Caenorhabditis elegans: one gene and its partner. The protein of the gene in region 1 interacts with the protein of each later gene in a biochemical or structural test. Each region holds a gene or a part of one and is shown in the gene's direction. Other genes may lie near its edges.

The links.
Region 2: the proteins of nlp-3 (region 1) and npr-42 interact in a test that uses a peptide from one of them, tested with the Caenorhabditis elegans proteins (one large-scale study listed by BioGRID).

Annotation. Positions count from the first base shown.
Region 1 is NC_003284.9:13,176,784-13,180,653, reverse strand, and holds nlp-3 (Neuropeptide-Like Protein), read left to right. Parts: upstream 1-2,206; 5' UTR 2,207-2,236; coding exon 2,237-2,311; intron 2,312-2,384; coding exon 2,385-2,582; 3' UTR 2,583-2,798; downstream 2,799-3,870.
Region 2 is NC_003280.10:4,273,818-4,280,315, forward strand, and holds npr-42 (G-protein coupled receptors family 1 profile domain-containing protein), read left to right. Parts: upstream 1-2,384; 5' UTR 2,385-2,396; coding exon 2,397-2,666; intron 2,667-3,623; coding exon 3,624-3,826; intron 3,827-4,336; coding exon 4,337-4,466; intron 4,467-4,658; coding exon 4,659-4,912; intron 4,913-5,164; coding exon 5,165-5,309; 3' UTR 5,310-5,451; downstream 5,452-6,498. Other genes in the region: C01F1.5 (Peptidase M12A domain-containing protein), read right to left, coding at 5,972-6,353.

The DNA of each region.
Region 1 (3,870 bases):
GGCTGATGTTGATTCAAATGTGCAATTCGACACAGAAACATACATCCCTCCTGTTTTTTTTGTCTCCAATTTCAAGTACCATTAGACATGGTGATCATAAAAGAAGAACTTTCACTCAGTAGATCTTGTAATTTTTGATCTTTTCGAGTATCTACACTTGGTTCAAAGAATTCTTCAACTTTTAAAAAGATATGCACGCTTTTTTTTCTTCTTTGAGTGTTGCTCAAAGAAGATTAAATTCCTTTATAAATTTGTGGAGGAGTATTAATGAAAGCCTATCACAAATGTCATATGATTAGTAGCAAGTCAAGTAGATAACTAATAATTTTGCCATTGTTGCCGGGCAACAAAACAAATCAAATAACTCAGATTTCATGTAAAAAACTCTTGGATTACATACAAATTTTCTGTTTCTCAAAGTCTAAATTTAGTTAAAATCTTATCACAAGGTAGTTCAAGGTACTGAATATAGCTACAATTATTGTAGGTAAACGTACTATGTAACATTAGTAGATCTTTGACAAATGTAGGAAAAAAAGGAGGATGTCTACAAGATTAGTAAAGTAGGAAGTTGTAGAAAATATGAGCGTTAATTCGTTTATATGTAGTTCAGTAAAGCGCGGTATTGCAATGCCGAAAATATACTTTTTTGTTCATGATGAACAGAATTTCCAATCCGAAGCGTTAATTTACCCAACATTTTGGGATATATTCTGTAACAAATGAAACATCAAAAATAATTTTGGAGCCATAAGTCAAATGGTAAATTTTTAAGTCACAAATTACCTTTTTAGGAAAATTTGCCGCATACCTTATTTTTAGAGTTTTTCATATCTCTCCTGTGGAGTTTAAAAATATTTTCAAAAAAAAAGAGCATATTGAAAATCTGGATGGACAGATTTTTGTACATTGTTGGATTCTGTGCTTTATTGTGAGGGGCTTCTAGACAATAGTGCAAGGTTAAATCTCTCAAGCTCAGATTTTCTTTGTGACATGTTGAAGATTAAGCTTGCAAGACGGATACCACAATGATCACAATAGGTGACCTTCAACTTTTCACACTGGCACTGTCTATCTCTTGCTTATCAATTTGACAGAGTACAGAAACTCATAAATCTACGCTGTACACGGATAAAAAACAACAGTTAATGTATTGTATTTTGTAAATTTTGGCTCTTTGATTGATTTAAAAAAACAACTTTTTAATTATTTTTTGAGCATTAATTATTTTCGAAAATTACCTATTCTTCTCATGAGCTTTGAGTGTTCCTTATTTAGTCATGCTCCAAAAAGGAAAACGGTTAGACTTTTTAAAGTTGGTTTTTTTGACGTATTATGTTATTCAACATACTTCTAACATTATCCCTATGATTTATTTCGGTATCTGCCGAGCATCGGTTCTTAAGATCCATTTTTTATTTTGTAAAATGTTCTTGACGCGGAGCGAAGTCTTAATATTCAAAGAAATTTTAATTTCGGTTGAACATATTTTACTAGAATTCAATAAGGTTTCATAATTTTCATAATAACGAAATTTCCAATTCCGTTTAAAATTGTGTCTTCTTTCTTAACTTTGGGAAAGGTGTTAAGCATTCCAAGAAAACTTTTTTAAAGCAAATGTGATGTTAAATGTCCTGCTGAGAAATAAAATTATAGGTTTTCGGCACATCAACCTTTAGAAAGTTATGCTCCATGTTCTGCAATCCTCCTACATAAAAGTCAATCATGTAAATAAATAAGGAATCAGGTTTGCCATATAATGGGGAGCACAAGTCAAGAGATCAGCTCAGCGTAAAAAAATTGAATTTGGGTTCTTATTATACAACGGAAGCATTCGAAACTTGATCCAATTATAGCATTATGAAGGAAAAACGCTGTTTTACACATCCATATCAGAATAAATTTGGATTCACTTTCTCAATCCCCCTTTTGAAATCATTTGATTCTGTCTTGTTGTAATCCAATCAAGAGCTCATTTCTTTCTTCTTCAAATCTTTCACACTTTACCTTCGGCTCCGCCCAAATCACCTCAGATGGGCGGTGCACTTGTCCTAGGACTCTCCCGTGCTATATAACCAGCAGAGAGTTGCCGGATTAGAATCATTTGTCTATTCTTTTCTCGCTTGAGGGTGGAGCTTCTAGTCTCACGTTTTTTCAGCTCAATTTTTCTTATCTCCATTCAAATTTAAATCTTACATTGTTTCAGTGGTAAATTTGCTTGTGATATCAACTCAAGATGAGCAAAATCGTCGCTTGCTTGGTCTTACTCGCTCTCAGCGTTATGTGTGTCTACTCTGCTCCCTATGAATTTGTAAGTGAATTTAAAACTTGAAACTTAGATTAAAGTTTCTCCAATATTACATAAAATACCAATAACATTGCAGAGAGCAAAAAGAGCAATCAATCCATTCTTGGATTCTATGGGAAAACGAGCTGTCAACCCGTTCCTTGACTCAATTGGCAAACGATCTTTCCGTCCAGACATGATCACTGAGGAGAAGAGATATTTTGATAGCTTGGCCGGTCAATCTTTGGGAAAACGCTCCAACAATCGATATGAAATGTTGGAAAATTACTATTAAGTGTATTTAAATTATAATCAGATCAGCCTTTTTTCGTATTGTTTTCATTATATTCTGAGTGTTCACGCTGTGTTTACTCCTTCATTTTCAATTTTTAAGACGATTTACTATTTGCGAGATCTTATTAAAATTCCCCTCCACCATTTATTCTTCCGAATCCTTTTTTCCTCGTGTGGTAGTAAGCAAGCAAGCCAGAAAATAAACTCTGTTAATAAGATATTTCTGAAGTGAAATTCACACAAGAATACGTTTGAAAACTCCCACGGAGCGGTAATCACGCTCACAAACCACGGCTAGCTTCATCATCAACTGACTGGACACTAATCCGGGACACAATTGTTCATTGTAAGCACGTACTCTAGCGACATTAATGTTGTGCTAAGATTATATACCAGAAAAAAAGGATTAGCATTTTATTCACCCACGGATCAGTAAACCGGATACGGGTCTTCATGACTTGGCGAGATTATGGCTGGCAACACTGGAAATGCATGCCGACAAAAAAAGACAATAGAGTTCTTTGTGTAAGCTATGGTTTGTTCTGACGCACGGTTCGGGTCAGCAGAACCAACGGCTCTTTCATTGGCCATACCTTGAAGCTACATTATTTGACAATATATCCAATCAGATGACTTTTTCTATACATAGAAGTTTCTTTCGAGTATCTACTGAATAACAAACAATACGAGCAAAATCACACGTTGGCTACAAAATGTATTTTTAATGTTGAGAAGAATCTCGTACACAACGTATATTTCGAAGAACCAGCAAGTTGAAACAGGCTAAAATTATTGCATACTTCACTGAATCCGTGGGAGGGAGTGATATCATTGCAAAATGACAATTTCACTGTTTGCCACAGCGCCATGACAACTTGACAACTCGATTCACAAATTCAATGGGGACACGGTGACAAAATTTGATTAGCTTGGTAATTGAAAAATTGAATTGTAGCTGGAGAAATAGCTCGTTCTATAAAAAATAAGTCTGCTAGGTTTTGAATTAAAAACTGAAAATTTTAGGGAAGAATTTCCAAGCTTCATGCAAAATCCGTTTTTGAATTTGCATTTTCTGACCCGATTTCATGATAAAGTTTATGTTTGACAAAAAATTAAAATATTTTCTAATTTTAGGATAATTCAAGGCTGACTTTGAAAAAAGTTAATTCAAATGTTTTATATAATTCGCCGGAATTTTAAAAATTTTTAAACTATTTTTCTGTCATGACTTCTTTTGTCCAATTTCATAAAACATGTTTCAACTTATCTACAAAATGAATGCCTGTTTG
Region 2 (6,498 bases), on another chromosome or scaffold:
ATATAGTCACTCCAACAGACATGCAGGCAGACATAAGGCAAACATGCACGTAGGTTGACATACTTGAAGTAGGCACGTAGGTAGGCGGACTTGAGTTTGGCTGGCAGGTACAAAGTAGGCGCCTAGGCACGCCTGCCTAGCACAAATGTGTTTGCGAAATTTTCAAGTCCAATTTTTTGCAGCTTTCTCTATCCATCCTGTCCTCGTGAAAAATTGTTTGTATAGATTCGAAGCTCTCAACTAGTTAGTCACTTAACTGAAACCTGCAAAAACAACACACAAATGACCTACTTTTCCGCTTCTCCCCTCTCTTTTTCGCCTAAACCAAAGTCCATCAGTTAGGAGCAGTACACTAACGAACCTAACCCCGGAGAAAAAGAAAAGATGGAGAAAAAGTAGAAAAAAATGTTTTGGGGAATATTATCCTGTGCTTTTCAGAATGAGCTTCTTTTTTTTCTTCACAACTTGAAATATTTTCACTGAAAAATGTTTCAATATAAAATTTTGAAATTTTGCGCTCTCGTGAACATTGAGCATAAAACGTTAAATTTGGTATAAAATTTTGAAAATCTGATTTAATTTTTTCCAGTCTTTCGGCTTAAAAACAGGCACAGGCTTATGCCTACCTACTAGGCTGCCTGCTTCGGCCTACCAACCTACCTATGTACCTACCTACCTAACTTCTTTTTAGGGTTAACTCAAGGTTTACGAATTTTCTTATTTAATTTTTAAATTATCAAAGCCTGAACCAAAGGAAACTGGTTCAAGAGTATTTTGGAATTAGGCAGAGGTTCAGGTAGTCAAATATTTGTGTGCCTACCTAGTCTATCTGCAAAAAAACACAAATATCTTGGTCATCAGATTTTTTCAGTTTTCAAAATTTTAAAATGACTTTTAATATTCAAACAAATTCTGAAATCTCTGGGCTCCGTGTTCGGTAGAGCGCATTTGCACACTTGGCGAGCTCTCTAAACTTGAATTAATTTGGGAATTTTTATGGAATTTAATGGAATTTTTATGGAATTTCTAGACGTTATACTTTCTAGAAGTCGAATAAAAACCAAAAAACAGAAAACAAGAAAAAAAAACTTCCTCAATTTTCGTCTCCTCCATCCACCCCTCCTCCTCAAAAAAAAACCCATAGAAATGTTCAGCTTTACAAAACTAATTGCTTTGTTTTGTTGTTTTTTTTCGACCCGTGCTCCTCCAAAAGCTTCTCCTCCATCATTTCAAGCCTTTCATCTATATTTTCCAAATTTTTTTAATTTTTTTTTCAGCAAAAAAAACGTGACAAAACTGAACTGCTTGATGCAGTGTGTGCTTCGAGGAATTAATTATTCCCGGGGTTAAACAAAAAGACGAACTTTTTTCGCGCCCCGTTACTTTTTTTTCATCTTTTTTGTTTCATTTTCCCCACATTTTCCGCCCCCATTCAACTCATTCATCCGTTTTTCACCCTAATTAGACTTTTTGCTCCTCTTCTGCGGCAGCCGTTTCATCATTGTTTGCAAGCCCCGTTCTGGGAGGGTAGTTCGCATGGGATTACTGAAATGTTGCCACTTTACTTAAGCTTGTCCGGGATTTAGGTCAAATATTAAATTTTCTATAAAAGGCTTCCAAGAAGTTGCTTCCCACACTTTTTATTTTCTAGGATCTAACTTATTTGCAAATTTCTATTGTATCTATTTTTTTTCACACAAAGTTGCATTGTTGAAATTCCCGGGAGAAACCTAGGGTGCCGAACTTCTCGCCTACTTGCCTACCTACTTACCTAGCTACCTGCCTACCTATCTAACAACCTACCTGTCTACCTACCTACCTGCCTAATTTTCAAACCTACTTAAGGCAAACTTAAATCAATGCAAACAGATCCCAAATTTCCGGCAACATTTTTTAAAAAGAATTTTTCAAAACTTCTAGGCCACCAATCTAATTTATTCGATTCTAACAAAGTTCAAAGACCCAAAAATCCTATCTACTGTAATTTTGAAAAGTTCTAAGTTTATTTATTAGTACTCTATTCAACATTTCCAATCATCAACGTCAATAGGAAATTTATGTTTCACCAAACTTCCTATTTTAGTCATCCTTTCCAGTTCTCTGATCGTTATGAGTACACCTAAAGCTTGAAGGAATTGGCATGTTGACGTTGAAAATTCTAGAAAAATTAATTTCAAAAAACGATGAAAAAAGTTTTAGTCAACACAAACGCTGAAACTGAACCGTGTTTTTATTTACACTGCCTGAAATTCTTTTCAAGTTATTTATTTTGCTATATTTTTACACATATATTTTATTCGAAAATATTGTAAATTCTCATTGCCATTTTTCTTACCTATCTCCAAAAAAACCCCAGAAAACCCCATCAATTTTTCCAAATTTCCAGACCTCAAAAAATGGACTCAAACGTGAAATATTTCATGTATGAAATTTTTATTCCATCAATTATCATACTATGTTGTGTCGCCGCATTTCTCAATTTCATGGTTGTCATCTCCCGGTTGTACTGTAAAATGCGATCAGCCTCACTGGAATTGACCTACTCGTTGGCGCTATCTGACACGTGGACAAGCATCGTCATTGGATTTTCCCTTTTTTGGAATAGTTACAAGCCGGTCGTCCTGAATATTCCACATTCCAGTTATTGCTTTCCGTTAACTCTTGAGGTTGGTTTTTTTTGAAATGTGGCTCAAAAAGCCTAGAAATAAAGAAAAGCTAGGCCACTTTCAAAACTTGTTAAAATATTTCTAAAGGTATCCCTACCTATTTTTTGCCTGCCTGTCGCCTATTTTCTGAACTCGATCGGCGTACGCAGGTAAAAGTTTCCACAAGTATCTTGTAATCATCTATATTAATTTGCTCAAAATTCAATACGTGTACTTAGGGAGTAGGCACGCATGTAGGCAAAAGGTAGGCCTAGACGACCTTGAAGGCAAGCAGGCAGGCATTTTGGGCTCTATCCGAAACCCTACTACGCCTGCCTTGTGCCTACATGCATGCCGAGGTACCTACTACCGAAAAAAAAACACCTTTTTTTCATTTTCCGGTTGAAAATGCAATGGTCTCATCAAAAAAGAAAATGTCTACAAACCCTAAATCCTGGAGGTCATGTCCAAATTCAAAAAATTGGCGGTAGGCATGCAGGCAGGGAATAGGCATCACTACGTGAACTTTTCGAAATTCTTGATCTCTTGCTACTCGCCGAGCCGTGAAGAAACTTGATAGGTTGAGCAACACTAGTTCATCTAATAAATAAAATTAAACGCAACAATGCACACAAAATGCAACACTTGAATTGAGTTGACGTGATGTACGGAGGATAAAATTATTCTGTTAGATGGAGAGTGCTCTTCTATTTGGAAAAATAATGAAATTAGGAATTGGTTCAGAAGAAAATCGAATTGAGAAACAAAAAATGATGTTAGAAATGTTCAAAGTTTAATGAATGGTTGTTATTTTGTGAAGTTGAAGTTTAAAGTTTAGAAGTTTTTTGGATTTAAAAAATTGCGGTAAACATGAACAAGAAAGTGACGTCATAAACCTGCCAGTTTGCCGTAATTTCTAGAAATCAATTTTAGAAAACATTTAATTTTATGAAACTTCACAAAACCCCCAACTTTCAGGCATTCCGAACCGGAGGTCTGCTTACCGGAATTTTCCATCTCGTCGCACTGGCATTCACCCATTACATGACCATTAAACGACCATTCGACCATCATAAAGTACTCCCGATTCGAACAATCTACATTATGATCTTCTTTATGTGGGCAACACCGCCAATGGCTCTTATGATCTATTTCGCCAGCAATTCGGGACAGGGATATCAGTAAGTGTTGTAACGGATTTGAAAAGCCTTTGATAGCTGTTCTAGGAACAAAAGCCCAATCTTGAGCCTAAGCCTTAGCCTAAGCCAAAGCCTAAGCCGAAGCCTAAGCCTAATTGTGAGCCTAAGCTTATGCCTCAGCCTAAGCGTAAGCATAAGCCTAAGCCTGAGCCTGAGCCTGAGCCTGAGCCTAAGCCTAAGCCTAATCCTAAGCCTAAGCCTAAGCCCAAGACTAAGCCTGAGCCTAAGACTAAGCCTAAGACTAAGATTACGCCTAAGCCTAAGCCTAAGCCTTAGCCTAAGCCTAAACCCAAGTCGAAGCTTAAGCCTTAGCCTAGGACACAGCCAAAGCCTACGCTTAAATTTAAGCTTAAGCCTAAGCTTAAGCCTAAGCCTAATTAGCCTTAAAACTACATCACAAGTTAAACGTATTCCTATTGTCAGTCAGCAAATTAAATGAAATCTAACTACTATTATACATACAAAACCACCCATTATATTCCATTATTCCAGAAGCGAGAAATGCATGGGCATCAAATTTTACGAGAACTTCTATTTCCGCGCACTTGTCTCTCTTATCATTGTCTTTCTCATCATTCTTACCACCATCTTCTACATCAAAATGTTACAAAAAATTACCGAGGTAGGTACAATGTTCAACAACTTTGACAACTCATATCTTTGTTCATTTAAATGATACAGAAAAGTTTTAAATTACAAAACTATAGAGAAACAAATGAAAATTGTTTTGTTAGTTGGCAATTTTTTGATAAAATCAATGACAACCGAGATATGATTTGTCAAAGTTGGGCAATATTTTAACTTCAACTTCCAGGTCCGTAGCAAAACCGCTTCCAACTCCCAAACCCTCGGAGCATCTGCCCGTGGACGGCGTACAGTTGTGACTGCAGTTCTGATCTTCGGAACTTTCCTGATCGGGTGGATGCCAGCAAGTATCCTGTACATCTTGACTGCAGAAAGTATGCCCCTGTATAATAAGCACAGTGTCTCGATAACTATCATGTCGATCGCCGTGCTGGTCAGTATTATGGCGAAGACGTTGTGTAATCCAATTATCTATGCGACAAGGTAAGAGTTTTTGAGTAGACAGATAGGTATGCATGCCTTTGCGCTTACGCAACGCCTGTATCGCTATGTAAAGTCTGCCTGCCTAGATGACTACTTGACTACGTCATACCAACCTATCTGCCTACACCTCTGCCTATCGCTTATTATAGGCATTGATGTGCCTTCATTTGTGCCTACTAGGTGTCTACTAGGCAGGCAGGTCTTTGATACCTTCTTGAAAGCGTTACAACTTTAAACTCTATATACTTCCAGAATCCCTGAAATCAATCAATTCGTGTTCCAAAAGCTGCTCTACCGCGTCCTACCCGGCCGGAATCCGACTATTCGAAGACAAAGTGAGCTTGAGCCACTGAAAACGAGATGCTCACAACCAAATGCACATTCTGTGATGCTTTAAATGTGATAAGCAGATTTTTATATATATGTACAATTTGTTGCCTTTTCTTGTCCATTTGCTCTCCAACTCTCTATATTTGTGATAATTTATTGTTATTTTTGGGAGCACACTTGAAATTCTGGTTTTTTAATAATAAAGATTTTAAGAAATATATTTTGTGAAAAAATTATTAAAGTTTGAGTTTATTTCTGTCAAGGTAGAGTTCTCTTTCACGAACCGCCGAAAAAAGTATAGCTTGCGGCGGAACCCGGATGAGGTTGGCCGCAAAACTCATTTTTCCGATTTGTCAAACTCAATAGTTATAAAGGTTTTATTATTATGAAGAAAGATTGAAAGCAATTAAACGTACATATAATATTAAAATTTGGGTTGATTTGTGTCTAGTCGGAGTTCAAGAAAACTGGTGGAGGATGTGTGCCGTCATTGGTGGCCTAAGAATTATGTATGACGTCATTTCTCTCCCACGAGATGCAGCTAGAGAGAACTCAAGCACCCGACATCATCTGGGTTCCGCGGGCCGCTTCAAAAGTATAGCAAGTGGCGGAGCCCGGAAGATGTCGGAAGCTCAAACTAAACACAATTTAAACCCCGATTAATTAACAAATTTCTCAAAATTCAATATTTACACACATTATGCCAAGGAGATCATCATTATCACCATATTACACCGTCTTGTGCTTCTTCACCACTTTCGCTTTTCTCGCCTTCTTTGTATTCTTTGCTAGAAGCCTCTTATAAGCCCAAAGCCTCTTCTTGAAACTATCCAAATCCTTAGCTCTCGGAACAACACATGGTCCACGTGATGGATCGGCGTCTACGATCTTCTCGGGACAATACATACTATTCAGCTTTACAGTATCCCATTTGGTAAGCAGCCCGACACGTTGACCGGCTCCGATATCTGCGTCGTTTCTTGCTGGGCAGTAGGGAGTGAGCCGGAACTTTTCACGAGCCCAAAGGGGTACTGTAATGCTCTCCGGGTCGAATGGCCAGGTTAGTTGGATTGGGTTGTAGTCCGGAGTTCCGAGGTTTGGAATTCCGCCTCTGGAATTTTGTGGGGTTTTTTGGCTTAGTTTTTTGAAAATCAGTTAATTTTAATTTTTGTGGATATTCACGGAAAATTTAAAAATTTAATCACATAATAACAGCAACCACCACGTGGCCGCGAGCGAGAAAAAATCGGCCACCG